Lepisosteus oculatus: one gene and its partners. The protein of the gene in region 4 binds, or shares a complex with, the protein of the main gene of each other region. Links are inferred from orthologs where the notes say so. Each region holds a gene or a part of one and is shown on either strand. Other genes may lie near its edges. The genes, in order: tada2a, mbip, kat14 and yeats2.

Region 1 (7,664 bases), on a different chromosome or scaffold from region 4:
TGCAACCTTTTCTAGCCAAGACCCATGCAAGAGCCACACAACTGCAGGACCCCTAGACTGTCAGTCATGGTTTTAAGGTAGCATTCTGCCTCTACCTAAATTAGCTGCAATGTAAAGCACAAGCACAGTACATGTGTGTGTGCCAGGCACACTGCCAGTACCACTGTATGCACTTCTGATCAGCCCTCTAGCTGAAGCACTGTGTCTAATTCCTCAGGATACCTACTATTGTCCACCAAGCCGAATCTCAAAGTGCACTCCCTGGTGGATTGAGTGACAAGAGAACTTGCTGAACATCCACCCATGCAAGATATTTTCACAGATTAACAGACCCCACATTCTGCAAATATATTGTCCTGCTTTACTGGAAAACGTTAAAGCATCATAGCATGTGAGGCACCTGTGTGTACTTAATTAGATCTATTATTATGAGCCGTTAAAAAATATATATTTTAAATTAAAAAACAAAAGGTCAGTTGTTCTAATTTGAAATCCAGTTATTAAATCTGTGATTATTATACAACATAACTTTTATACCTAGATTTAATCTTATAAATTCAATCATATTTTTATCACCAACGCCTATGCCCCAGCAATGCATTTTTCGGCATCCACTGCTGCTTCCTGTACTATTGAAAACTCCCGGTCTCCGAACTACCCGATCGGGTACTCGGAGTTGGCTGGTGAAATTCCTCCTTGGAACTTCAGTTAACACCCAGACCCCACAATCCGTCAGCAGCAATCCCATCTCTCCCAGTGAGCTGCGAGAAGAAAGCCTGCCTGGTTTAATCGAAACTCAAGTCAAAAGACTTAACTGACCCCTGTCTTTAATCACCTGCACTCTTCCTGCAGGCCCCCATGGATCCGAAACCCTGTGTGTTACTTTGGAGAACTCCCAGGACGTCAGCCAGTCCAAGGGAACTCGGGCACTAAAACAAGGGGAAAAGGATAAGAGCAAATCTGCAAACATGCATGCTCTGAAATGTGTAGCTCGAGTTAAACCTGACTGCTGCCCCTTGCCGAGAGCTGCTTTCTGACAAGCCTTCCACTGCCACTGTGCAATTTATACTTTCTACTGTTAGGCACATCACAGCCTGGCTTCAAGGGTTCATATATAATTGAGACAGTCTTTTGCGGCTTTGATGGTGGCGTCTTTTATTCACATGGAGATGATGGCTCGCGCCAGCGTTTTCAGATCTAATTTTGTCTCTTCGTTTCAAAGAAAGAACCCCCTGCCATTTAATTATTAAATGCTCCTGGCTGATGACAAAAGAATCGAGGTGTTCTTTCAATCCGCCGAGCTAATCTTCAAAGACCAGACTGTACGGCACCTATTAGGAGAGGTGTGAGCTGTGCGCCTCTGTACGCGGTCCTTCAAGGGACAGAGGGCTCAGAAAAGCCACGCTCAACGCCCAGTGCCTTCCTTGAACGTTTTATGATGCACTGGAATAATAACATTATGCACATTAAAAACGGCAAATTTGGCTTCTAATGCTTTTAGCAAATCACCTTTTTTTGGGGAAGAAATCAATATTCCGCCCAGGAGGAGGAACTCCCATACAGAATGGCTTCAACCAGCAGCATTTTCCTTTTCTGACTCGTTTAGACCCGATTCGTTCCTAGGGGTTCCAAACCTGGCTGAGAGCCCTCAGCGGCTGGTGGCGTCTCCCCTGGGGGACTGGAGCCCACCCCCCAGACCCAGTGTTCACTGCTGTCTCTTCACCGGCAGAGGAATCCTACTCCGTTGGGCCCCTGAGCAAGGCCCTTAACCCCAACTGCTCCAGGGGTGCCTTACAATGGCAGACCCTGCGCTCTGACCCCCAGCTTCTCTCCCTGTCTGTGTGTCTGTGTCTCCTTGGAGAAAAGCTGGGGTATGCGAAAAGACGAATTCCTAATGCAAGAAATTGTATAGGGCTAATAAAGAAACATTACTATTATTAACCTACACCCCAGTGGCCTTGTTTGGTTGCAAAACCCATTTTTGGTTTCTGCTCTTTAAAGGGAGAACAGAACGGCGTCTTTCTCCTTGACGTCCACCAGAAACCGTCCTGCAAGGTACAGAATCTCTGGCTCATTACTGGACAGGGCTCCAGCAGTCCTGCGCTTCACAGTCCCAGTGCAGAGTGAGGATAAGACCGATGGTAGATTTATTTCAATATTCATGTTCATAATTGAGCAGGCCAAGACCAAAGCTGGATTCATCGGCGAATGAGATCACAGTGCTCAGGGGATTTGGGGATGTATGTGAAGACCCTTAAAACGGTCATTTCCTGTTCCACTGCAGTAACGTTGCCCTGGGGCAGTCGGAGCTGCACTTCCCGGCCCCGGGTGGAATATCCAATAAAAGAGTAAGGCAAGTCTACTCGTTTTGTTTTCTCCCGCTCCCTGGAGAATTCCACAGACACGGAATTTTCCACTCCTTGCACCCCCCCCGCAAAACTGTTATTTGATGCCAGTAAAGCGCAGGGCTTTAACGCCGCGGGTTGCACGAGGAACGGACGGGCGACACGTCACACTCAACGTCACACTCGGTCGCGAGCCGCTCGCGCGCGCAAGGAGCGCTGTAACGGTCGGTTTCTCGGCCGAAGAAACGTTTTTCCTGAATTTACCTGAACGACGCGAAGCCGATCCCAAGATGGGCGTCCTTTCCTCTCTTCCGGCGCTCTTCATCGCCAAAAGAGCCGAAGTATTATATCCCCCAAGTCAGACTGCAAAATGAAATTTTATTTTATATTTCATTAGCGGAAAACAACTCAACTCAACAAAACAACTCAATTAATATTCCAGATTCTCGGCCCTAAATTGGGAAACACCTCAGCTTAACCTTTTCCTTACCTCTCCAACAACCATACATGCTTCTTTAATAGGTCATTAGGGAAGTATGTTCTTTGAAAAAACAGAATCGTCAATTTTGTTACACAGGACCACACGCTTTTTTCAGGGCTCGGCTGGTACCGCAGAAACCCCGCGAGCACCGGGGGCGGGGGAGGGAAGCCGGAAGCGCAGCGAGATTCCCCGCCCCTTTTCCTGCCCTCTCGCCTTCTCATACGTCACAGGCACCGCCTCCTAGCCCCGCCCAGTAGCGCAGACTCAGCAGCGATTGGACAATAGTGTCGATTGTGTAGCCCGGATCATTCTCTGGAGCTCTTTAGTAAAAGGGCATTTAGAGCCGAAAACAGGAGGCACGTCCTTGCGCAAAGGGTGGTAGGGGTGTGGAACAAACTCGCCGGCCATGCTGATGAAGCCGATAGACTGGCTTCCTTCAAGAAATGGCTTGGTGAGATCTTTGGACCAATTAGCTACTAACTGCCAAGCCATTCTGCACCGAATGGCCTCCTCTCATGTGTAAACTTTCTCATGTTCTTAGCATCCTTTCTTTCTGAACCTCTGCTTCTCAAATGCAGCACTTACCCATTATGCGCTCTCTCGTTTCATCAAAGCTTCCCAAATGAAACTGCAAAAACATACTACAGTATGTTTGTGGAGTCTGCCTACCTTAAAAAACCCTAATCGATCTGTTTAGGTTTAAACCAGATAATCCTCAGACCCTCATCTTTTAAAAAAGCACAAAAAAACCTCCCTTCATTAGACCGTTATTCTTGAAGTCTGCACATCCTGTTTGCTGTGCTGTAGTCAAGCCAGGTGTCCTGGGAAGAAGGAAGAGAGATCAACAGCCGCCCAGGAAATCCATCTCAAAGTGGCGAAGGGTCACTTCAGGCTGTGCCCCAGGAAGGAAAAGGCTGTTTGTTCCAGGTGTCAAGGGAGCACTCCATCCATCTGTGTGTCGAAACCGATCTGCTGTTCCCCCTGTAATTATAAGATAGAGTTACTGGATACCCCCCTGATTTCAGTGCCCGGATGAACTGTGGGCTGGTTTTAATTGCTCTCACTGGGGCACTGAGAAGCCCCACAAGCGTCAGGGATTTCCTAGGCATTCTGGGAGGCAAATTGGCAGCTCTAGTTCAGTATCAGTCTCAACTCTCTCGCTTGTTTCTCTTATAGAATCGGCAGTCCAGCCAGTTTTCTATCTCTAAGACCTCAGTTTGGAAGTGACTTCTGTCACCAGGGGCAGCAACAGAAGACACAGTTGAATGAGGATTGTGCCTCTCTAGGAGGGGTGATTTTATCAAACGTGCATCGTGCAGTCATGCAGCCAGCAGCCATGTCACCCTGCAGCTCCCAGCTGGTGACCCTCTGAAGCCCCGCAGGTGTGAGCCTGGTCAGTACCTGGATGGGAGACCTGCTGGGAGAAACTAAGGCTGCTGCTGGAAGAGGTGTTAGAGAGGCCAGTAGGGGGCGCTCACCCTGCAGTCTGTGCGGGTCCTTTACTGATGTGGACACTATACTGTAAAAAGGTGCCGTAGAACTGGGGTCCCGACTCTCCATGGTCACTAAAAATCCCAGGGAGTTGGCAAGATTTCCCCCTGGCCTTTACCAATCATGGCCTCCTAATAATCCCCATCTCTGAACTGGCTTCATCACTCTGCTCTCCTCCCCACTGAGAGCTGGTGTGTGGGGAGAGTACTGGTGCATCGTCCAGGTGGGGCTGCACACTGGAGGTGGTGGAGGGGATCTCCATTGTCTGTAAAGGGCTTTGAGTGAAGTGCTTAGAATAGTGCTACAGTATATAAGGGTAAGGAACTACCATTATTAGTTTTAAAGCCTACATTCTGCATATCTTTGCATGCACGCGTGCCAGAAACAAAAACACAATCTGGATCTTCAAAAAAGCAAAGGACTGATCGGATCAACTCTGTTACATTTGGTTTGAACAGCACTGGAGAGAACAGGCTCTGCCGTTCCTGGGCGTCATGCTAGCAGCGCCCATCAGGCTTATCTCTGCGGACAGATGAGGGGCTGTTTGAGATGACATCCTAGTGAAAACAGGGAAAGGACAGCCCGAGCCGTTCACCTTGGCCAGTGCCGAGAGAGAGAGCCAGCCGATACACGAGTCACCCGGAGGGTCGTCTCTGTGCGCCATCCATCTTCATTCCCAGCGTCGCCGGGGAGCTCACAAAAACAGGTCGTGACCTTGGAGCTCAGGGCCTGTCATTCTGAGCCTCGCTCCGACATTCCAGACCCCCAGGAGTTATAGACAAAGAGGGCCATTAAGCCCTGATTGATTCGGAGGATGCTGTTAAAGGACATTAAGCTTGGAAATGAATTCATTCAAGCATGCTCTAAGTGAGGAGTTCGGCAGTGTTTCCCTTTCCTTTCTTTGGAGATTTTTCTAATCACTTGCAAAGAGAGACGTGCTTTATCCTGCATTCCTAGCTCCAGTCCTGGGCACAGGCAGGACAACTGGAGATGGGCAGGGAATGGGCAACAGGAAGGGCACAGTACTCCCATACCAAAAGAGAGACTGGTTTGAGGGGCGTTTCCGCAGCAAATTGCTTGGATGGACCTTTCCAATTCCCCGGGCAAACAGAAATAAATCCTCCGCACCACTTTGTCCCGAGGTCGTGCACAGTTTTGCACTTGCCCAGGAAAGGTTTGCACGTCTCTCTGCACGGCAGAAGCCCAAGAGGATGCAGGAGGCAAGAGTCACGCAGGTTGAACCCCGAATCCACAGGAGTACTGTATCTCGCCTCTCTTCCAGACCCCCCTGCCCTATGCCTTCTGGCCGGCAGTGTGCACCCCACGGCTCTCCCACCCCTTGTTCACCTGCGGTTCTGTGAACGTTCGGGAGGGAGGTTCCGTCTGACTCGGCTCTCCGTAATTAGCAATCACCCCTGACATCATTTCCTCTCCTAAACACTATAAATACTGGACGGGACCCCCTTCTCTCCCTCACGAAAGTCTTTCTGCATCTCACCTCCACCCCACCTCCCCCTCTGCAGCTGCCCCTGGGTCACCCCTCACTCTGCAGGGGGCTCCCAGCCTCCTCGTCCTCCGGCCAGGAGGTTGGCCCTCAGCCAAGTGGGTTAAGCCAAAATGTTGACTAAAACACTCCACAATCCATTCAGTACTCTTAATTCATCGGTGTTGTCAATCCTTGTGAAACAGCGCTAGGCCGTTGCTCTGAATACTTTATCGGAATCAGGACATACATTCTGTATACACTATATATGCAAAGTCCTCTGATCTTACAATGTCCTGCTGTGTATGCAACAAAAAGACGAGCACAGAAGGGAGCAGGCACAAACACAGCAGAAGCAGTATCGGAGGTTTTACATCACAGAGGCCAACGCAGAAGGATGCGATTGTTACCAGCTGTACAGACAGGGAGGGAACACCCAGGCTGCGTTAATTTTAATGCTGCACAAAAGAGCACCATACAGTAAATGCTATACACAAAGGATCTTGATTTTAAATTCTTTTTAAAAACAGATTGGGGAGGAACTCCAGAAAAATGAGCTCCCTCTTCTGCCTATCTTCCCTTCCAACTATCCTATCCTGTCGACATGAAGACACCTTATGACAGGTTCTAAGACAAAGGGTTTAGTATTAGTAACCCACGGTTACAAGCATCCAAATGACAAGCGCTTTGTTAGAGCTGTCTCTGTCAGGGTCAGGGGTCACCTGGGGCCACAACCCCAAAATAACCCCCCCAGCCACCCTCCTCACGGCTAGAAGGCTGATGCTGTATAGTTTTAACAAGAGTGTAGATGCTATACAGTACATCGTTGATGGGAACTACGCATGACTAATGTCACTTCCGCGCATTTAATTGAAACCATCTCGAATTGGTGTACTTTTAAAACGGGATCATCCGCTTGCAGTCGTATATATATCGGGCTGCTGTGCATGAAAATGCACCCAGGCCTCGGGCAGAGCGGAGGCTGCAAGTCTCCGTCAGCAGGAGGGGTGCTATGTGTGCTCGTTGGGGGTAGAAATTGATCTCCGTAACACGCGCTCAGAAAACAAACATGAAGAGAATCAACCGGGGCGCAGCGGTGGTGACAGAGAAGTCTCCTTTCTTGTTGTTTGTTTCAGAAAAGGAGCCATTTCTCCCTTGGGCGAACTCAGTGTCTGCCCACTCCCCCGGTGGGCGTCGGTCCAGCCTGGAAGGTCTCCCCCGCGGGGGTCCGAAGCTGTCGCGTCTCGGCGCGGCGAGAGGCTGGGGGTCTTTGCAGGAAATAAAGGAAACAACGTCCTTAACGTTCTCTCACAGCCCCTTTCCTGAAACGCGCTTCAAATTCAGACTTAACGCATGTGCTGGGACACAGGTGGTCTTCTTCTTGTCCCTTTTCCCTTCCATTAAACCATTACAATCCGCCCCCTTGTGCAAAGTACACAGGAGGATAATTAAATCCGGTGACGTCACCACGCGAGAAGATTTTAAAAAAACTTAGAGCGTGTTTGCGTGGGGGGAGTAATACCCCCTCATCACCTCAAACACGAGCCCATTCCACCCTTGAATATGTCCCACACATAACCTGTGTCAAAAGGTGGCCTCTGTTAGATGCCTTGACATTTCTAAGTAAATATCATACTGAAACCCCCCTTCATTCATTAGTGCAGTCGCAAAGGGGTGGTGCTGAGTTATGCAGGCCTGCTACAGTACCAGCTTCCTACTGCATGCCTGGGTAGGAAGTCCATATATGGACTGTGGGAGGAAAGGCATGCAGAAACGGAATGAACATGCAAACTCCACACAGATAGCATCCCAGCTCCAGAATGGAGCCCACAGCCCCAGCTTTGCAACCACTCCACCACTGTGC
Region 2 (7,873 bases), on a different chromosome or scaffold from region 4:
AGAATTTTTTTCCAAATACTTTTGAAATCCTGAAACACCCACATGTTTCAAAATGATGTAGTAAACAAAAAAAGACAAAATATAGTTTTAATCTACATTTGTAGAACAATTTACACACTGATGCCCCATTTATGAGGAGAAAAGAGAGTTTACATTATAATTTAACTAGCAACAAAAAATCTTAAATGTGTTGATTTCTTACCTGTAATTTGGAAATGTGACGCTGAATGGAATTGTACAGCTGTGCCGGCTGAGTAGCTGAAGAGAACTGCAGCTTGCTTTGGTCTGCGACAATTTGTAATACATCAGCTCCTAAATTAACCTTGAAAAAGACAGGGAAGTGCATGTGCATCAGTCAATATGCCAAATTGTTTTAGTACTACTCAATGCCTTAGTCCTGCTGGAGTTCAGCCTTCTATTTTCCAATTAGCTTTTTTCCCCAAAAAATACAGAACTGGTGCACTTAGGTAATATATCCTATCATAACAAATATGCTTCCCACAGGTATTATGTGAAACCCATGAAGAAAGATGGGTTTATATCATCACCATGTCTGCCTCATCACCACAACACAAGACAGGATTTTGTTTTGGAAGCTGAAGATGTCTGTTAACTGTTGAAACACCGTTGCTTGTTATGAAGACTTTTAACCAAGACATGGTTTAACCATCCTTCCTTCTGAATCACTTTATCCAGTACTTGTAAGCAGTTGTACCAGAGCCTATCCCAATAAGCAACTGGCGCAAGGCAGGATAAACCCTAGTCGGGATGCTAGTCTATCGCTGGGCACACACAGACAGACTGACACTAGAGATAAGATCACTGTATTAGCCATATACAATTTCTTGCATTAGGAATTCGTCTTTTCACATACCCCAGCTTGCTCTCCATGAGATGCACAGACAGGGAGAGAAGCTTGGGGTCAGAGCGCAGGGTCAGCCATTGTACAGCGCCCCTGGAGCAGCTGGGGTTAAGAGCCTTGCTCAGGGGCCCAACGGAGTAGGATTCCTCTGCTGGCCGCGGGATTTGAACCAGCAACCTTCCAGCCACACACGCAGATCCTTAGCCACAAACCCACCCCTCCGCCAGGGGGCAATTTTCCCCAGAAGCCAATTAAGCTAATATCATGCCTCTGGACACTGGGAGGAAATCGGAGCACTCAGAAGATACCCACGCAAACCAGGAGAACACAGAAACCAGAATTCCAGAAAGGTCTGGAATTAAACCCAGGGCCCCAGTGCAGCAAAGCAGCAAGCTAGCTATCGGGCCACTATGCTGCTCCATTGTTTAACCTATTTACTCTTTAATTAAAACCCAGATGACAAAGCCAGTCAGCAGTGAAGCACCCTTTAAAACACATTCAAATTGGCTTGCCATATTACATCAAAGAATAACGAAGGGAAAAAAAATCTAAATTGTAGGGAGGCAGTTTCCAGAAGTTTGTTGCCTTTTCACAAAATAAACCCTAGCTCGGTTATTTAATATAATTCATCAATCCATTATCGGAGAGCCACTTATTCGTAGCAAGGGGCCCGGCAGCACAGAGCCTATCCTGGAAGCATAGGGTGCAAGACGGAACATTTCACAGGGCATACACAAGCATGCAGGGCCAGCGAAGATACATAAATAGCCTTCCAGTCTCTGGAAGGTGGGAGGAAACCAGGACACCTGGAGAAACCCCACACAGACATTCAAACTCCAAACAGAAGGTGCCCCAGTCCAGAACTTAGCCCAAGAGCCAAGACAGCCTTGTCTGGCCTCTGTTGTCCAGCTGTGCCACACTATTCCTTAATCGATTTACCCTCCCTGTTGCCACAAAAGAAGAATTAACTGCATGTGCTTCAATTTTCTAACCGCTTAATCCAATAAAGGGTCATGTGGGAGCCGGAGCAACAGGCACAAGACACCCTGGACAGGATACCGATCCATCACAGGACACATACAGACACGAAACACACTCACACCAGGCCCACTTTTTCCAAAAGCCAGTTTTTACCAGTATGTTTCTGGACTGTGGGAGGAAACTAGAGTACCTGGACGAAAGGTACACCAAAAGAATAGACTCCACTTGAATAGTATCATAGGAACGGAACCGAGGCAGCAAAGCTTAGAAGTACACCACCGTGCCATCCCTGAACTGAATACGTGCCATATAATTGCAGAACAAACTAGTTCATTCACATTTTCAAAGTACAGTACCCTTTCATTGATTCATTTTCATTAAAAAATAGTTAAGCTCAAATAGGGAGAGAATAGTACCATATAAAATTCGCATAACGAGGCGCTTCGTACTTTGCAGCAAGAGCTTCACATGAGTTCTAACGTTATTGCAAAATATTTTAAAGTCATATTGGATTTTCTAAAAACGGAATAGCAACTAACCTATGATCACGGACAATATCTTTTTTTAAAATATTGAAGCAGTTGTCCAGTCTTAGTGTGAGCAATTGATTAATGACAGCTGTAGTTTAAACAACGGAGACTTACACGTTATGGAGGCTTTTACTGCGGGGCTGCAACTGTTATACACTCGTACGTAGTTCGTTTTACAATATGTACTCTACAGATTATATGTGTACACTCAAAAAATGTTAACACATGTTTAAAATGAGTAAACAGCAAACTAAGTTAAATATAACACAGTTACAGTAACTGCAAACCTTAATTGTTCTTACTGACAAGATTCCTTCTTATGCAACATTTAAGATTACAGATACCTGTACCGAAGCACAAAACACCTCTTAAAACCCACCTTTTATTTTTAACAGAAAGCTAGCTACAAGTCCCAACAATAATTAATAAGTGCAGTACATTTAACTTGTACGTGTTCTTCTACACTAACCTCTGCGCTAAACTGGGTCAAGGCAGTGAAGATGTCACAAAGACATTCTGTAACTGTGCCTGTAGGAGATGTTCTTGTCTCGTTCTTCTTTTGGTCGCCTCCTTCACAACTGTCTGCACTGGTCTCCACCGAATCAGCCATGACACCCTTGGCTCAGGAGTTGAACGTCGTGCCTGATGATTGGTCGATTAAGTGAAGCGAAGTCGCGCTTGAGTGACATCAATCCAGAGTCATCTGCTATTGGTGGAAAGACAGGGAGGGAAGGTTTTGGAGGTGAATGCAAAAATAAGTATCAACATTTATAACATTTCACATACATACAATGAAGTGGTCTGGGAGGTACCCTGTGTTTGAGCATTTTAAAATGGAAGAGGTATTTGCTGACTATTTCGAAATGCAAAAATATGAAAGCGGTGCGAACATTATTCTTATTTAATTTGTTTAATCTTTTTTCATAAGTTGAATTGATGTAGTAGTATGTACCCCTGACGATATTTTTGTTTGGAATTGTTATATGTACTCTTGTTTGTATTGTAATGTTTGTTCTTTTGTTAAGCATAAATAAAAATAAAAAAACATAACATTTACAATTGACTTATAAAACAAATGCAAATTTTCATATATTAACTTTATATCCAACTTGCCCTGTAACCAATAATAATTTGAAGCATATGTTGGATTTCTATTCCTATTTGGATTTTCAGATTAGAAAATAATCTGTATATTTTAAAGAGTGCTAAAGTACTAATAAGTGAAGTGAAGCGATTTACGTTATTTATATTTGTCTCAGGACTTTAGTGGTCAGTCGTTTTAGCATTTACACAAAAATGTCCGGTTCTTTTTTAACTATTGTAATTCCGACTGTTTTCATCAGATTAATAATGCTTTTATTTTATACCAAGATTTCGATTCTCGATAATGGAATGTCCTAACTTAAGTGTTCTTAACTCCAGTCGGCAATCTGACTCATTTTATGTTTTAAAGAACTGTACACCTTGTAGGACTGCTGGATCGATCCAATAAAGTGTTAAAGGAGCAACCCTTTAAATCCCCTGAGCCTTAAGCAGATGTTAATAATAATAATAATAATAAAAAAATCCTACTGGATTTCAAACCATGTAGTCTGAAAGTTAGGATGCCTTCATCTAGAGAACAATCTGTTTTTGCCCAAAATGCGTAGATTCTTTACTTCTTCTCTGAATGCAAACTATTGAAAATATCTAAAAGTTACTTTTGGCATTATGGCCCAATCACTATCTTTTTCTTCATACCCTGTTTAACTGCATGAGGTTGTAGTCTGTAATCTTTAAAGAATAGAGTGACTGTAATTTTACCACCATAAAAAAAATCAGTTGGCAAAAATGTCATTGGATGTACACATGAAAATAGGGGAAAGGAATAGGTCCACCTATTCAAAATGATACTAAGCTAAAAAAATTCAATATATTATTTTTGTTGAAATATACTGTTATTGAGTGAAACAGCTCACATCCGATCAGATATGAGCCATTTGATTGTGCAGTCCAGAGGTTTTTGGAATTCTTCAGTGGTTCTGTAAGAAAGGTCATATCAGAATGAACAGGCTGGAAGAATAACCAACAATGCAGGCTCCAGTTAGAAACATGAAGGAGCCTCTCTCAGACGTTCGGATAAAACTAGAAGGTTGTACAGCAACATGGTGAGAGGTGTCACATAAGAACATAAAGTTTTACAAGGAGGATTCTGGTAGCACTCAACCACCCAATGTTTTTTTGTGTGGGAAAAAAAGTTATTTTCTTTTCCAAAGGGAATTGTATGGATGGCAATGAAAATACCATTAGGGGAGAGAATGGGGGAGAAAAGCTAGAAAAAAAGGAGCTATAATAGTCATTATTCTATTTTGACCATATTTATTAATTCCATGCATTCTTTAAGGCAAATAGTTCCATAATTGTTACATGTGGGTACATTTCTTATGATTATTTAATCATAAGAAAACAGATAAATAAATATGTTTCTCCTGCTTATACAAGGGAGAGAATGACTTTCTTTTATGAGGGTATAATTTGAAGGGCATATCCACATATTAATGTTGTGTTCTATTAAAAGGAAAATATGATTAAATTCACAATGTGTGTAAGTGAGTGATACCCCTTTTTCACAGTGTAGCACATAAGTGCAGAAGGGAATCCCAGTTTTTGTGCAGCTGTATATGGGGTTATAATACTTCAGTAAAGGAGGGAGAGCCTTTATTGTATCTATACAAGAAGAAAAACAATTAGCTTTAATTCCATTAAATAGCATACCTAATGTTGTGTGACCTGATATTATAACAGGCTGTTATAACAATATTCTATTTGGCTGAAGAGACAGACTTGCCAGAAAAAAAACAACATTTTTTTATTTAAAATGAAACATTAAAACCATAGTTTCTAAAACAAATTGATTTTAAAGATGAATTAATTTGACTGCTATGCGTTTTTGTAAAACAAATGTTTCCCAAGGTTTCAGTGTAAACGTACTACACATTTTCCTCTTCAATGGAAAATATCTTCCCTTGTGCCTGAAAAGACACAACAAAAGGGTTTTGGCAAGCAAAGGACAGTGCTTCCTCCAGAACACACCATTACGGCACCAGTTCACGGCTAACAATGAAGAAATTAGGGGAAATGCACCACACTCGGTTATGTTCCACTTAATTATTGGTGTGAATTTCCACATCTGGCTAAAACTCTGATGTGATGTTAGAACATGGCTCAGGCTGGTAATATTCATGATGGGAACATTTGTTTGCACAACCAGCCTGGTCTAACGAGAAAGATACCCTAGTATTCTCCAATGAATATATAACAATGTTGCATTTCAAACAATTTGAAGTTATTTAAAGCACACTCGTTTTCTTTACTTCAATATTTGAACACATACATTTTTCAAATACCCGCTGGGGGAGTTATATTTTTAAAATGTTATGTTATTGAAGTGGCGTTTTGCAACAGTCATAGATCAGATGTCTGCTTTCATGTTTTAGAAACAAAGAAAAAGGTTAGGATTGTTTTTTCCTTCAACACCCCCCCCCCACACCCTCCCAGCCCTAATGTAAAGAAAAAAAGCTAAAATCCACAGACTTCCCAGTAATGTCAAAGGAAACAGAGGGGCTGGAAAGAAGAAGAAGGAAGCAGTGAGTTAAGAAGTGCAGAAAACTACAGGAGCCCTGGGAAAATGTGATACAGTGTCAGTTGCTGAATACATTAAGAAGGCATACTTTTAAAAGGGGGCTTTAATGTTCTGCTGTCGGTACAGTCGAGCTTTGGTGTTCCGCGTCTAATGGTGTCATGCATTGTTTTTTTTATCATTTTGACTTATTGTTCTTGGGCTTTTGTGGAAACAGCTAATTAAAAAAGAGACACTGCTGAGGGCAAAGGGAGGAAAAGGCTTTCTGTTCCTCAGGTCCTTATCTGTGGAAGCCTGCATACAAAGAGAAACCTGGGACTTGGGGGTTCCATTTAATGGTTTTCAGGTTAATAGTAGCACAAGAAAGCTGCTGGCAAGGTTTATTAATGAAAGGCCTGTCAAGGTAGAGGAGTGAGAGAGCCAACTGAAGCACATTCTCTAGGAATATTACAGAATAAAGGAGAGACTTGAATCTGTCCTTCAAACAGCTTGTAGAAATAGAGAAGAATGGAATAAATTAAAAAATACAGTGTTTTTTTTATGTGGGGGCACAGATGTTAGGTACTGAATTGTTGTACCAACCTCTTTAGCATGCTAGAAGATTATCACCAGACTAAGGCAATGTAGTAAAATTCTCCTCCAGCGCACCTCAGGATGCTGTTTTGGGCTGTAAAAAATGTCCGTTGAGTCATTTTACCAAAATCCGTTTTTTTTTTCCAAGAAGAATGAATGTAAGAAAAGAGAACAAAAATGAAGTAGTCATTACTGCTGTTTCCATGGTAATTAACTGTCAGTGAGTTTCTATGGCCAACAATGTCAGAAAAAGAGAAAAAGGAATAGATTCCTAATGACCATGGATGTATGCTCTTTGTTGTCCACAACCGAAACATTTTAGATGAAAACTGTGATACAAATTGGAGAAGCTGGAGAGTCAGCTCGTTCACTGAACTGCGACAGCACTACATCCAAAATGCAAATGATTTTGAACACTAAAAATGGGAAAGATTATATTGTCTTAGTAATTTACATGTGGTTATTGACTTAAAAGCCAAGCCGAAAAAGTAAACAGAAAATAATGATGCCATGCTGCTAACAACTGGACAGAAAAAAAGACAATTCCTTTCATGTTAACTTAGCTGATTTCTGATGTTTAATACTATTTCATCCTAAGGAGAGAAGACAGTCCTTATATAAGTGTCTATTATTATTCCTTTATTTTTTTGGCAAAATATTCCTTAAATGTTAAGATCTGGAAGTAGAAATATTTCCTTACTTGTCATAAAAGGGTTCCTGTTGTAAAAGGGGAATTTCAGACCTGCAGGTGTTAAATCTAGTCCAGTTTATTACTTGATTGAATCCTTACCTGAACTTTTTTTTATGTTTATGTGATTGGAACCTGTGAATGTTTTTGTTTTCATTGCAAAAGCTAGAGACCTTCAGTTCCTTATGAAACTGAATAAAATATTTGTTTAGATTTTTTAGATAACGAAACAGTAAAGCAGTCAATATCTAAAGGCATATTTAAAAGCCCGTTGACAATGTGTTTAGGCACATTGAAAACAATGAAAGATTCAAGTTAATCTAATTATTAGTCAATTAAGGGCTCAATTATCAAACTGTGAGCTCAGCTGGAAGGAAAGCCTGCAGGTGTGTGGGTCTCTAAGACCAGGATTGGGAACCCCTGCTGCAGGACATGTAAAATATTTATTATGCAGTTTTAAACTCCAACCAGGAAGCCAGTGTTAATACACTCGTCAAATGCTTCCAGCTGGTGATAAAATCAAGTTTTGTAAACATTACTGGCACACAAATCACATTGTTTTGAGCAGTGTTGTATTTCCATATTGAGTCTAGTTTCCTTTTTCTTGAATCAGGACGAAC
Region 3 (6,938 bases), on a different chromosome or scaffold from region 4:
AGGTCGGACATGATTTGTCTTGACTTCAGCCTTGACATTTCCACTGCATCTGTGATACAGCTGCTGGTCAGACCCCAGGGTCTCTTTCAAACCCCCTGTGTTTACATGGCGAAAACTCAAGCCCTTACAGACACCCATCGTCAGGAAGATGGAAAAGGCTCTCGGGCCCGGTCTGCTGCAGCCCAGCCGCACATGAGAGAGGGCAGCCTCACCGTGGAAGAGCGCCTGGGGGGGCATGACGTCCGGGATGAGGTCAGCCTCGGACAGCAGGCTGGGGGTGGCGGAGTGGGAGGCCGGAGTGCCGGGGGCGGAGAAGTCAGGCGAGGGGGACGGGGAGGGGCTGGTGAGCGGTGTGCGGTCCGAGGAGCTGAGGGAGGAGAAATCGATCACCTCCCCCTTCTCCAGCACCAGTTCCGGCCGCCGACCCCGGCTGCCGAACTTGACGGGCGTGGAGGAGGCGCTGCGGTCCAGGAAGCCGGCCGCCTCCTTCTGGGCCCGACGGATGTCCTTCGCCTCCTGGGTGCGCGAACGCTTCTCCTTCAGCTGCATGGCGCTCTCCACCGGGTTGCGCCCCCCGCGCTTCCTCAGGCCCTCCACCGTGATGATGGGGTCCAGCGGGGGCTTGGAGGGGGCTGAGGGGGCAAAACACACCACAGTCAGATGAGGAAAACGGCCTCCTCCCCCCTCCCCACAGACACAAGGGGAGCAGGAACTGAGCACTGACTAGAATGAGAACTTCTCCATGCACAAGTTCAGCAGTACAGGCAAAACAGATTTACTGCTGAAGCTTTCCCCAGGCAGGCCTGCAAGAAAAAGCTGGACCAAGACTCTTGCAGGTGTTTGTAACCTTGCTGATGTTTGGGAAGCCCATCATGTCAGGGTGAAAAAGTCCTTTGTCTCCCTTGATTGACTGCTGGCATTAAGCTTTGAGAAGCCATTTTCCAAGAACAGTTGATCAGCAAGGCCATATGACCTCTATCCAGACAGAAATATGAGATGCTGGAACAGCATTCCTTTGGATTGTTTTACTCCTGTGCTCCAGGCACATGCCTCAGCTCAGAACCAGAGGAGAGAGCAGCGTTTCACCTTTTGTCTTCAGCAAGGAGACGGAGGTCTTGTCCCCCTCGGGCCTCAGGGTGGGTGGTCGGTTGTGTACCAGCTTCCACCAGCCTGGCTCCCCAAACTCCTGGGCTCCAGAACGGAAGAACATGGGGCTCCCCACCGACAAACACCCCGCCACTGTGCTCCACCATGTGGATGTCTTCTTCCTGCACGGTAGAGTCAGAGGGAGCAGATCAGCCACACACACCGCTGTCGTCCGTTCTCTCTGTTTCCAATTGCCAGTGCTAGCAATTACCCCAGTGCCCTACCTGGATCCCAGAAGGAAGGTCCAGTGTCTCCCGATAAAGGCACAGATGTCCTCCTTCCACCGGAAGTAGCCCTGTCGGCCGGTGCCCTCCAGCGAGAGGTTGTACATGGCCAGCATGACCACCTGGAGGACAGGAAGTCATGACCACTTCAAACATCAACAGGTGTCAACAGTGTTAATAACGTCATAGTATTATATGGCCCAAAATCGTAAATGTCAGCATGAGTAATTATTTTTCTGGAGAGCTGAAATAAGACCTTTAAACTGGACTCAATCAGATGATTTGGAGCCTGGAGACCCTTGAGCAGTCAGGGGTGGCCCAGAGAGAATATCCCTGGTTCATACCTGCTGCCAGGTGAGCCTCATCCTCTCAAAGTGCTCCTTGTCATCCTCTGAGCACTCACAGCAGGTGAACTTAAAGAAGTTGTCGCCTTTCAGGTAGCTGGGCTGGTCTCCTCGCAGCTGACCTGGATGTTGAACAAGGAAGCTAATGTTCAGAATCAGCACAGAAAAATAGGATTTTACTTTACTTGGGGCAACCTTGGGCAACCTTGTTGTAAAAGGCGCTATATAAAAATAAATTGAATTGAATTACTCTAAGGTCAACGCCCTCCCAAGAATAGTCAGAGTTCAGACAGTGTGAATATGGAGCTGTGATGTCAACACCCTGTAAGTCTGTATGCCTTCTTTACTGTGAGGAACTTAACTTAGCAAGCCCCTTTACCAGTCTATGAATTAGCAATTTTATTGCAACATGAGGGTTACTGAAGGATGCAGATGAGAGCTCAGATCCCAGGAGCTGTCTACACAGGCCAGTCTTGAGCAGGTGCCGAAAGGTGGTCAGGGACCGAGTGAGCAGTTTTAATTTCTGGGGGAGGTCCACTCCACTTTGAGGGGTGAGGGTGGAGAATGAACAGACTCTAGACGTGAGGGAATGAAGAGGAGGAGCAGAGATGGGGTGGAGAAGGCTGAGAGATAAGGGACTGAAGACCAGCAAGAGCAGAGGCGCTGAGTAATCAGTGTGCAAGAACAAGGGCTTCGAGGGGGATGTGTGTGTTAATAAGGAGCCAACAGAGTGACTAGAGCAATGGAGTGGCAGTAGAGCAGGGAGGAATAGAAAGGACAAGGAGAGCCACAGAGGTGTAGCTGACATCTGTCAGAGTCCGTCATCCGGCTGGCTGAGTCAGAGAGGGAGTTTGGCCAAGAGGGAATTGAGTGCACTGGGGAGAGCTTCCCGGCTGCAGAGATAACCCTTCCCTTCTTTACAAGAGCCAGTATTAGACTGTAGTTTAAAAAGGAAAAAAGCTTTAAGCCCACAGTCACCATTACAGATTCGGAAGCTGGCAGTGAGCTGCAGGTGCGTCTCACCGGCTGGGATCCACTTGTGACACTTATCACAGTAGAAGGACATCTCCTCCGTCCAGCTGGAGTCGGGCTCGTCGCCGAGGTCGCTGTTGAGGGAATCCCCGCTGTGGTCATGGGAGAGGTCCACAGAGGCCTGGTCCTCTGACTCCACGATCAGCAGCGTCTCCCCCTCCACCTCCCCCTCCTCCAGCCCCTCCGAGGCCGAGGTGCGCGTGGCCTCGTCGTCCATCCGCTGGCTGGACAGGCCCCTCATCTCGCCAGATCCCCCGTCCATCGCTGGCACGTACTCGCTTGACAGGGGCGCTCTGGGCCGGCTGCCTGCAGAGCCCCACAACCCTGCGGGACAGGGGACAGTTTCACTCCAACAGATACATTCAGGAAACAAGATGCAACTGGCAAAGCAGGTCCTGCGCTGATACTACAGAGGAAGAGAGAGAATCAGTAATAATAGGATTTTATCCAGACCAGTGTTGCAACAAGGTCTCTCAAGGAGCAAGGCCTTTTGTAGTTCTGATGAGCTGAATGGCCTGTACACATCATGAAATTTTCTTACACGTCCCATGTAAAGCAGACTCCCACACCCTCAAGGAAACTTACTAAGTATTCCAGCTCAACCCTCAGTTAAATGATTGAGCCTGGGATTGAACAGATCGCTTGCTTAAGCACCACATTTTGAAATTATGTTTATCTGCTGAAAATTTCAAACAATTTCAAGTAAGTAACTGAGACCTTGACTGGAACTAAAACTTGAAGACACTTCTGGCCTAGAGCCCATCAACCACGTTCAGGTACACACACCTGGCTTGGAGGACAGAGTCATTCAGCATCGGCCACACAGGCCAGAACACCCACAGTCAGCGGACCAGCCTGACTCACATAAGCTGTTGGCGATGTCTGAGCCTCTCTCAGGGTGGCCTGCCAGTCTAGGAGCCCTGAGCGCCTGCTGCTCTCCTCTCCCGCTCCTTCTCCAGCTCCCTGGTCAGACTGATCTGCTCTTCCAGTTGCCGCAGGTTCTCCCTTTTCCTGGCCTGCCGCTCCAGGTCCCGGACAACACCCTCCCGAAGTCTCTGCCGGAGATGCAAGAGCAGCACGATCAGAACAAGAGCATCAACAGGTGGCTCTCACACTCCTTGAGACAACTCTGTTAGATTTGCAATTGACTTAACCCCTTAAACGTCTCTTTAAAGCACAGGAGGACTAGTTCATTCTTTTGACTAATTCATGTCAAACACAAGTATAGATACACGGCTATATGCGTGCACACATACACAAGATTCTGACATTCATCAGCTAAAACTAACTTACTGAGGTAGCAGCATAGCAACAGAGTGTTTTCATAGAAAAAAACAACGTTTTTTCAATTCACACTGTTGTTAATGTATTTTACAGGTCTGTGTCCAGAATGTTTTTAAATCTGTTGACCTTCAATTAACTCGCCCATATATCCTGTATCCAGTCAGTACCTCACAGGGGACCTCTTACGCCAAACTCTATGCATTGCTAAAAGTCCTTTATCCTCCCCACACCACCCAGACTTATTGGTGCATTCGTTTACAAGCCTTTGCCCGTGTAGAGAAGGAAACAAATGCTGCGACGATGTGAGTTCTCACGGGAATACAGCAGCAGAAGCTGAAACACTATCGAAATAAACAAACCGGCCTGGGAAAGCTGAGGCGTCTCCGGGCTCTCACCTCTCGATCCAGACTTTGTTTGATGTGAACTCCCGCCACCGTTCCCAGAGTCAGAGCTAGAGAAATCCCTAACACCACCTTGGAGGTTGTAGACATAGCTAAAGGAAGGCACTTAAAAATCCGAAACGCTCCAACACCACATTATCTGTCAAGGGCACTACTTCGAGTAAAACCAATGTGTTTTCACAGCAGAGCCGTCCCGGCGCATGGCGATGACGCAATAACCGCGCAGTCAAAATCAATTGAGTATAGAACAATTCGAGGTTCACCACAGCGTGGTCAGGAACAGTCTGAAAGCAGTGAATAGATGCACAACGTTGTACGTACCCAGGTCCTGGCAGGTGGCTTCACGTTTTCCCCCTTAAGCCGACAGTACGAGCGCACAACAGTGATGAAAGTTTTTACTAACATATGATCTCCTATGATCTCTTCGTAGACAATTTTTTTCATTATAAATAAGAATTAATTCCAATTACTTTCATCGGGTATAAACGTTCCCATTTATCGACTTGCTTAATTTACTGTCACAAATTACAAAATATATATTTTATGAAAATAATAGACAGGAGTAGATAAGATTGTACCACGTTTTTAATTCTGACAGAGGACAAGAAAAACTCATATTAAGCACCTGAAATCACAAGGGAACCCAGGAGAAGCAGTACGTTAAATCAAGGACCTCCTGTCCTCTGCTCTGATCTCCCAGGCCAGAAACACAGTCCTGCAGGGTCTGCAGGTCCCTATGAAATTATTACCCATGAAGATAGAAAAGAATAATTAGTAATTAACACAATTCAAAATATTTTATTCATCCCCAGAGGGGCAATTTAAGAGTTTTATTTATTTATTAGAAGTCTGACTTACATGTAAATACAGTAGATCCTTTGCCGTGAAGGAACAGAACAAACATACAGTGCATCAAGATGATGGCGATTACAGACACGCGTTTTCTTCAATCACAGGCGTGGTAATTAACCCTGCTCTCCGAGGTCAATTTGAAGAATAAAACCCAGGGGTGCTGCCTATGATGGGTTCTTTGTTTTCCCGTTTTTCCTTGCCTTGGCTATGGCTGTGTCCACACATGTACGCGTGTATTCACCCCAGTGCAACAAGCGCACAGGCAGCCTGGTTCCAGGCTCTGGCTCAGACCTGCCCCAACACCCTCGGCCACGACTGTTCACCACCGAGAACTGAAAAAGAAAACACTTTTTGATTTGAAAACAACCAGAAAGGAAAGCGGGTGAATGTGACAAACGCACTGTTAGCGTGCCGCCGCCGCACGTGACGAGTGTGCGGAAGGGTAGCAGCCTGGAAGCCGTGTAAAGAGCTGTGCACTCCTGGGCTCTTCTCTCCCGCTCCCTCTACTGCTTCTCCAGGTACTCCTCCAGCCGGAAGAGCCACTTGGTCCAGTACTCCAGGCACAGAGCGGAGTCCATGAAGTGAGGGTGGGCAGGGGACCCATCCTTGTAGGCCACCACAATCAGCCCGTCTTCCACCTGAAGGCAAGCAGAAGGGAAACAGGGAAACATCCATCTCGATTAAATTTAATATATTTATTACCGAGATCTTTGCAGTCTCTATATAAAAGGCACTTCTATGTGCAATCCTTTCTGTACTTCAGTGTACTGGAGTTTCATAACAGGAGAATTACAGGGCTCACAATTCACAGAACTCAAACTTCTCTAGCTAGATCACCAGTGACAACTTGAAACATGAAGAAACAGTAACTACTCAAAGTACATGAGATTAAAAATGTTTATATGACAAAAAAAAGCACATATAGAAGAAGTCATCAGTTTGAATCACACAAACCTGAAAACCGTAGTTGTCATCATTGTTTATGGCTCCTATATAGGCTGCAACTTGTAAGGGGTTGTCAAATGTGTTGTGCAGAAGTGGCTTGGGCTTCTCTGAGGTCTTCCAGTCAATCACACACAGCTTCCCCCTGTGAGGAAAGAATCATGGGTCACACCGTGTCTCTCATGAATCAGACACTCATAGACAGAGCTTCTATGTTGTCGCTAAAAAAATCTAAAAACACAAAGTAAACGCCACAGATGACAATTCCACCTAAATAAATATTAAAGATGATAATATTCTACAAGGATGATATTAAGCTAAAATGAAGGATACGTTGATTTTCAGTTCACATGCCTGTGTGTGGTGACATTTACAAAGCATGATGGTCCTCCAGTGTTACAATTTCTCAATTTTCTCAGGAAGATTCTGGGGTGCCGAATTAAACACAGTATTTATTACCTTTGAGCCTAGTAATGGCTGCCTTTCTCCTGTGTTTTGAAGGGAGAGAGCCTGGAGATCGATCCTCAATGTCAGAGTAAGGAGTTCAATGCATCATGGGATGCCGCATGACCGAATTCAAGGAGCAAACTGACTGTTAAGAGGCCATTCACCTGTACTGGGCGACGCAGTCCACCAGGCCGACGTACTGCAGAGTCTGATGGGTCACGGCACTCTCTATGGCGCGCACCCCGCTGATGTCCGCCAGCACGTGC
Region 4 (7,245 bases):
ATAAAAAGATTAATAATCAAATGCACTAAACTTCGAATCAGTTGTATTTTCGAATAATTACGTTATTTGCCTGAAATCACCGGGTAGTAAACTGTGCTGCGGACATCACTTTTAAAAAACGGTATGAATTGCAAATAACTACAAGATAAAACCATGTGTCAGGCACTAATAACGCGTAACGCTATCAAGCATGAAACTCACACAGCTTGGAGCAGATCCATATTAAAGCAAAAACACACTATATTCTTCCGTTCTGTGTTGCCTTAGTACTGCAGCTACTACCCGGAATGATCATTAATCGAGTCCGGTAAAAGCCTGCGGCCTGCACCGAAATAAAATTTTCAAGCTCGCCGCTCAATTTTATTTTGAGAGATCCTAACAAACGAGCAATAATCTGGTTATACTGCTATTATAAAATCGTGGATTTCGTGATTTATAAAACGGCTGCTGTCAATTCCTTACCCAGTTCCAAGCAGCCCGTCTTCCCAAACTTCCCCAATCTTATGCCCGGGATCAGCGCCGAGAAACTGCAGAAACAGACGGGGATACGCAACTTAGTTTTGGCCTGGAGGTGCAAAGAATGTAAAAGATGACTATTAGCGCGTTGATGGTGGTATAATTCCGAGAAATTAAGCGCCGAAAAGGGTAATATATCACCGGGAGATATGATTCAAAGACAATACTTTTTTTGGACATTAATGTGTGAGCGCCATGAACCTGCAGAGAACGCTAGGCCACGCAATACCGTCAAGTAACCGGTAGAGGACATTGCTCTGTACATCCTAGCAATGTTGTGCCAACGAACACAACAGGTAGTGATAAAGTCCAGTACAATAATTGAAGTTTTCTAACATTTATGGGACTTTATAGTATTAAGCGTTGTGTATGACAGGCAGAGGAATATAAAGTCACTTCGTTTCCTAAGATATTTTTATTAATGCGATGAAAATAACAATGATGTCTATTTTCATAACAAAAAAAATAAAATAAAATATACCCTGTTCTCTGGACCTGATAAGATCGCATTTTCATTAAAAGAGACATTATGAAAATGAAATGTACTTAGGCATTGTGATATTGCCAGTATTCTTGGCAGCAGAAGTCACTGGTTTTACTTAAATGAAGAACAAAAGAAAATGTTATTTCTTCCGTAAAGCAATGGAAGGATGTTTTGTGAAGGATGCCTGCAATGCTATCAGTTGTTGTTTGCTTAAGGTGTGCCCAAATGTTTCCACATCTTTGGACTTATTCATTTTGTAAGCAGACAAAGCTTCTGACTTCCAGTGAAAACTAAAAAGGATGTCCTGAATACAGGAGCTGATTTCACAGTTTCAGTGCCATTTATGCCAAGAACCCAGTGTTTAAGTTATGATCATTGATCAAAATATAGATGTTGCATTTTTAGTGAGGTCTTATTACCTTAGAAGAACACTGGGCCTAAGTACAAGGAACACGATAACAGTGCAGTGCTCAGATGCAGTTATTGCGGCCAATGCAATGCACAACAGCAGTAAACAAATACAAAAGTTTGCATTTCCCAGGGGTTTAATTTGTCCACATATTCTTGTCCACAGAGAATTTTACTTTTTACTTTTTCCCTGCAACACATTTTTAAGAAGTCACTTATTGCATGAATTTACAAAGTGCAACAAGTTCTCACACCATCTTATGGGAAAACTGAAGCCCATTTTAAAGTGAAGGATCAAACATTTACGTCTCTTATTTCACTAATTTGCTTTTACTGTGTAAATCATTTACTAACATAATTTTACTAACTATCCTGCTAGAATAATGGAAAATTACTAACTGCAACTTAAGTGTGAGCCGGCTACATACCTGGAACATGAAGGGCAGAGCCAGCATCGGACAACCTGAACAGAACTGAGAGTGCCCGATATCTGCTTAACCCATGATAAACAAAATCTAGAAGTACATACTGTCTGCTTAAACAATAATTAAAGGAACCCAAGAATATTCTTACAGTTTATCACGTACAGTACCAAGGCTAGCAGCCTTGGCTTTACAATATATATGGCATGGAATTGTACTGGAACTGTTCTGGGTGGGTTTTCTGTTTGTGATTTTGTATAAAAAGCGTCCTTTTGTATCTGAATTGAGTCATTGGCTTTGGCTCCCGTATGCACACGTAATAAAGGTAATAGTAGTTCAGGTGGGTAGCTGCGTCAGCATGCATAGGCTGCAAAGGAACAAGTAATATGTTTATTCCATGCTGAAAAAAAGAAGAAAGAGAACACAACGTTTCGGCCGTGGAGCCTTCTTCAGGTGTGACACACTTGTACTACCGTATAAGCTTGTGAACTAGAAGTAGCTCAAAAATGGCAAATTTTAGAATGAGGAAAATCATATTAAGCTTCACTGAAGGATTGCAAATATCTTGATTACTAATGCAAATTACCAGTGCTATTCTCTGGTTTTATGATATGTGTGAAATATTATCATGCAAGAGATATAGTGTTAAGATATTTGCTTGAAAGCCTAACAATAAGAAACGAAACCCTTTCTCTTGAATTCTTGCCATGAAATGACATGAGGAATTTTTTTTTGCCGCGCTTCATTAATAACCACTCCTGCAGCCTCAGAAACCCTGAGGTTGATTTGTCACAGTTTTAACAAATTAATTAAATGTGGAGAAATCAATTGTAATGTCTTTAAGCATTTTTCTCCATGTAAACCATAACATTTATATATTTAGTAAGAAAATCTGCAAAAACAGCACAACTGCAACTAAAATAAGAACAACAATAAAAGCAATAATTATAGTTGTTGTTGTTGTTGTCATGATTGCTTTGATGTGCTATAGGGTGATGCAAAGCTAGGAAGAGATTAGCAGTATTTATGTAATATGGACTGTAACACTGAGTGGAAAATAAACATCATGGAGTGTACGCCCTGTTTCATATGAATATTACTCACCTGGTCCCCGCCATGAGGACCTGTTCAGGGCACTCCTTTGTTCTGCACACCTTTCCTTCTAGAAACTACAGCACCCTGTGGGATCAAAATACTGCTGACGTATTATTTCACCCTCTGCTTTTCACCTGGATTATGTTGATACAGATATACAGTACACAGATACGCACACTTTGGTCAGTCCCAGGAAGCTGTGGATGAAATCTGCTCTGTTACAAAAATGAAATGGAGTAGTCTAATGTTAGCTATTTGTCATGTTAAAGAAAAGCATACAGTACTGATCATTGTAGACCAACAAGTATAAAATACCATTGAATTATTTTGTTTTCAAAATTAGATTAATATTTTTAACTTGTTCGATAACTAAAAAAAAAGGTACTTGCTAAGTAAAATATCATTATTGTGTTAAAGGAACAGTCTAGTACAGTATGTGGTTCTTTAGATGCCATTTCTACACAACCTGATATCGCGGCACTGATATCTATCCACCTTTACAAAATGGTGCAGATCAAGACAAGAGTATTCCTAGCGTCTATTCAAATTTTCTAAAAACCTGACCATATCTTGGATTAAAGCAACAATATCATGCTTTTGAATCGCTTATTTGGAAATTTTTGTGAAAAGAAAAACTGGATCATTTGAGCCCTTTGTCTGACAAACATATTGACGTCTTAGGTTTCTTTATTATGACACTAAAGACTCTTTCTACACACAAAAGAACAAAGGTCTGCCCAGTTTTGCTGAGGTTCTATGAATGTTGTGTAAACAAACTGGTACAATGAAGGAGCAGTTCTTTAATATTCTGTTTTGAATCTGTTTGTGAGGGCAGGTGTTGCAAATGTTTGACATCTGTCTTCTGGTATTAAATCCTTTGTGTAGACACCATACATTAACCCCTTACTGGAGTGGCACAATATTTCTTTTCTCACATTCTAGTCTTCATGTGTTGTTTTCTGAATCTTGCTATTTACTGTGCCAAACAAAAGTGAAAAGGCATTTCCAGTCTGACTACTAGGGAACTAACAAGGGAAACCAGATTATTTTGCACGAAGCCTGTTAGTGTACTTCTTCACCTCCATTCTTTCTGCAGAACCACATGAAGCCTCTCTGAGGCCCACTTTTCCTTGATTAGAAATGAGCCTGTAAAACAAAATTCTAAACCGAAACTATGATTTGAATCAAATGCAAAAACTGCAGAACCAGAGAGGCAAGCAGAAAGACAAGAAAAACAGGTGTAATTAACAACACCTTTATAAAAAGAATGACTTTTGAAAGCTGATTTACAAATAGTGAGATCCAATCATGTAGTATAAATATATGATTTTGTTTTTGTCTACAGTAGTGTTAACATTTAAGAAAATGCTGGTGTGCATGTTGTAACATATGTTTTGTGTATAGCTTTATTACCATGTTCTAATTACAGTATATGTCTTGAATACAGGACTGAGTAATCAGAACTAAAGTACTGAGCAGGTACAGAATACAATGCAGTAAAGTAAGGCCATGAAGATAAGGTACCAAAACTGTTGAAAATCTACCCCTGCCCAACTTTGGGTTTTGCGACTCGAATATTTGCTCATGCTCAGAAGAACAGTTTTACTGTTTTTGAAGAAAGCACAGTGAATTCAAACAATACACACACCTGCCAGTTGGTGTTCAGCATTCTTCTAATGATTCACCACATCCAAAGTGTTTAGATTAGGTAAACTGGAAACTGAGGACAGTACTGTGGTCCTGGTCCTGTTCCTAGATTCCTCTACATTGATTTGGGGTACCCAGAAAAAAAGGACTATGTTTTGAAAGTTGTTTTAATCTCACCTGACCTGACAGATATGCATGTTGCATTGCTTCAAAGTGCACTTATGATGCCACTGATGCATACATTTCTAGGTCTGACTTTATGAATTAAGATGCTGCAGCAAGGAGCTGTGTGTTAAAATGTCTTGGTTTTAGATTTAAACAATCTTTAAATTCTTCATAAATGGAGTTGTTTACATGTGGTGTCAACATTTTCACAAGCCTGCACTGCTTAAGTTTAAACTTTTAGACTACTCACAATGTTAAACATAAAACATTGTTAAATGTCTAAAACTCTAAATGTTATGTTATACATCATCAACTTCAGATCATTTCATGTAATGCCTAAACAACAGTAATCCATTTAAATGCTACTAGCTAGTTATGAGAGCTTAATAAAAATTTAGAACTTTAGTTTGCAATAGCTATGCTGGCTAAGACTCAACAGAGATTTAATGAAAGGCTAGTCAACACGTGAGGTAGAATATACTGCGGTTTTTGTAGTGCCAACTTCAACAAACTACAGTTAGAAAACAAAGTATATCTTATTTAATACTTCAACATATTACATTTTACACTAGTAGAACCAATTGAACATATTGCTTAAGTATATTCCAGATTTTACATGTATGTACATTTATTATAAAAGAATAACATTTCATTTTCAAATTCAAATATTAAAATATATTTATCTAACTTGAAACCTAATGTAAAGCACATTTGAAAAACAATGTTAAGTCTATCACTGCATGGGTTTTGAAATACCAAGTATCAGTTCTGAGAAGCAAAACACATACAGTACCACAGCTATTTTGGTATATTTGTATAGCCTTTAGCCTGCTATGACATTTGCAGAATTAACCATCAAGTTAAAGAGGTATTTAACTGTTACATTACCAGTTGAGGAAAACAAACATGTCGAAGTGACAGACCTGGCTTTTGTCATCCTTAATGGCTGAGTAGTAGTCTGTAGATTTGACGGATTAGGGTTCATAGATCATCCCATGTGCTCAAATTCAAGTTGGTAGCTTGCACATGATTCACTGAAACTAAGCAGCTGTCTGATGTTCAAGACTACTGTTTCTTACGCAAGATCAACTGGTAAAACAGTTTATACAAAAATATTTTTCTGTAGTGCGCTGTAGGAAAAAGAGTTTCAGCAATACAATGTATTATCCATAAGTAGTCGGTGTTTTGAATTTAAGAGTATATAGGAGTTTGGACTGCTTTTTCGAGGCCTAAAACAAAAAAAGTGCTGTAGGGGACATAAGTTCAAACAGTGGCAGGATGTGGCTATGGATTCCTTAGCCATTTGTACATCTTTCCAAAGTCAGCAAAAGGCCCAGTCATTTCACAGTTGAACCAATATGATGAATTCTTTAGGTTTCTGAAGTTGCATATAACAGGATTACAGAGGAAAAATACAAAATAAGAAAAGAGGACGAGAGTATTTATTGTAAATTCCTCTGCAAACTGTAGGCTTAAGTGTAAAACAAATGATTTCTGAATTTGTTTATGATGGATAAATAACATTGGGAAATTTGACATTTTCAACCCCTTTAATGTACATCAACACTAACAAGTCTTTACATTTTTTTTCTTTAGGCAAACACTGACATTTGTTACATAGCGGCTTGATGTGACTATTAAATAGGAATAAAGTTTTTGTTGATTTATAGGATTTGCTACATTTCAATAGTTATTTTATTTCAGACTCACTGGGCAAGAAAAGGTTTTGCAAATGTTTAGAAGCACGAAAGCAGCCACCACCCCACCAACATTTTCAGGCAGTGATGAGGCCCCTAGCTCTTCAAAGTAAAATTACAACAGAAAAGTTTCAATAAAAATGGCAATCATTTAGGAGAAAGTTACTTTATTAAGGCATCAGTGATACATCTAGTACAATCATACGCAAGTGGCTTAACACACATACAAAATGTTTAAATAAAATGAAAGGTGAGAGAAAAGAAATTATCACGCAATACTATAATGCAACCATTACACAACATGTCAATTACTGGCTTATCAATAAAAAGGTTAACTAGTTTTAACATGCAGCCTTTACATAACAACAATCTCTCCAAATAAAATAATGATTTGTGGAATTGACCATTGTATGGCATACACCATCAACTAAGTTTGCTCCTGAAATTCTTGTGTCAGTGTACCAGTTATGTTATGCTATAAACAGTAAATGTGAGCAGACTAATCAGTACACTTTTCACTTTATTTGTTCTATGGAATTCTTTGATTTACCTTTTACTTGCTAAGTTTAATTTTTCCCTCTCGATATAGGTGTTCTACTTAAACTGGCTTGAATGTTTTCCTTAACCAAATGCTGTGTATTCTCATACTCTAATATTAAAAAACAAACAAACAAACAAAATATTAAATTGATATATAATTTCAAGGCACTTGTGTTGTAATTAAAGGCAAAGTAAGATAACTAGTCTAGTAGAAAATTCAGTAACAAATCAACTTAGCACACCAGAAAAGGCTATTATATCACCTGTCCAT

Evidence for each region.
Region 1: yeats2 (region 4) and tada2a share a complex: the UniProt entries of both Homo sapiens proteins name them as parts of the ADA2A-containing complex. The link is inferred for Lepisosteus oculatus from reciprocal best matches to the Homo sapiens genes YEATS2 and TADA2A.
Region 2: yeats2 (region 4) and mbip share a complex: the UniProt entries of both Homo sapiens proteins name them as parts of the ADA2A-containing complex. The link is inferred for Lepisosteus oculatus from reciprocal best matches to the Homo sapiens genes YEATS2 and MBIP.
Region 3: yeats2 (region 4) and kat14 share a complex: the UniProt entries of both Homo sapiens proteins name them as parts of the ADA2A-containing complex. The link is inferred for Lepisosteus oculatus from reciprocal best matches to the Homo sapiens genes YEATS2 and KAT14.

Annotation. Positions count from the first base shown.
Region 1 is NC_090721.1:9,406,317-9,413,980, reverse strand, and holds the start of tada2a (transcriptional adapter 2-alpha), read right to left. Parts: upstream 3,002-7,664; 5' UTR 2,836-3,001; intron 2,709-2,835; 5' UTR 2,610-2,708; intron 930-2,609; exon of another isoform or gene 836-929; intron 1-835. UniProt on the Homo sapiens protein: Component of the ATAC complex, a complex with histone acetyltransferase activity on histones H3 and H4. Required for the function of some acidic activation domains, which activate transcription from a distant site. Binds double-stranded DNA.
Region 2 is NC_090703.1:22,283,865-22,291,737, reverse strand, and holds the start of mbip (MAP3K12-binding inhibitory protein 1), read right to left. Parts: upstream 3,015-7,873; 5' UTR 2,984-3,014; coding exon 2,843-2,983; intron 323-2,842; coding exon 203-322; intron 1-202. UniProt on the Homo sapiens protein: Inhibits the MAP3K12 activity to induce the activation of the JNK/SAPK pathway. Component of the ATAC complex, a complex with histone acetyltransferase activity on histones H3 and H4.
Region 3 is NC_090712.1:559,316-566,253, reverse strand, and holds the start of kat14 (cysteine-rich protein 2-binding protein), read right to left. Parts: upstream 3,009-6,938; coding exon 2,738-3,008; intron 1,837-2,737; coding exon 1,715-1,836; intron 1,493-1,714; coding exon 1,371-1,492; intron 1,269-1,370; coding exon 1,087-1,268; intron 633-1,086; coding exon 213-632; intron 1-212. Other genes in the region: protein PET117 homolog, mitochondrial, read right to left, coding at 3,658-3,801, 4,426-4,521; mgme1 (mitochondrial genome maintenance exonuclease 1), read right to left, coding at 5,787-5,921, 6,238-6,370, 6,837-6,938. UniProt on the Homo sapiens protein: Component of the ATAC complex, a complex with histone acetyltransferase activity on histones H3 and H4. May function as a scaffold for the ATAC complex to promote ATAC complex stability. Has also weak histone acetyltransferase activity toward histone H4.
Region 4 is NC_090708.1:11,813,835-11,821,079, reverse strand, and holds the start of yeats2 (YEATS domain-containing protein 2), read right to left. Parts: upstream 3,006-7,245; 5' UTR 2,935-3,005; intron 742-2,934; exon of another isoform or gene 528-741; 5' UTR 463-527; intron 271-462; exon of another isoform or gene 202-270; intron 1-201. UniProt on the Homo sapiens protein: Chromatin reader component of the ATAC complex, a complex with histone acetyltransferase activity on histones H3 and H4. YEATS2 specifically recognizes and binds histone H3 crotonylated at 'Lys-27' (H3K27cr).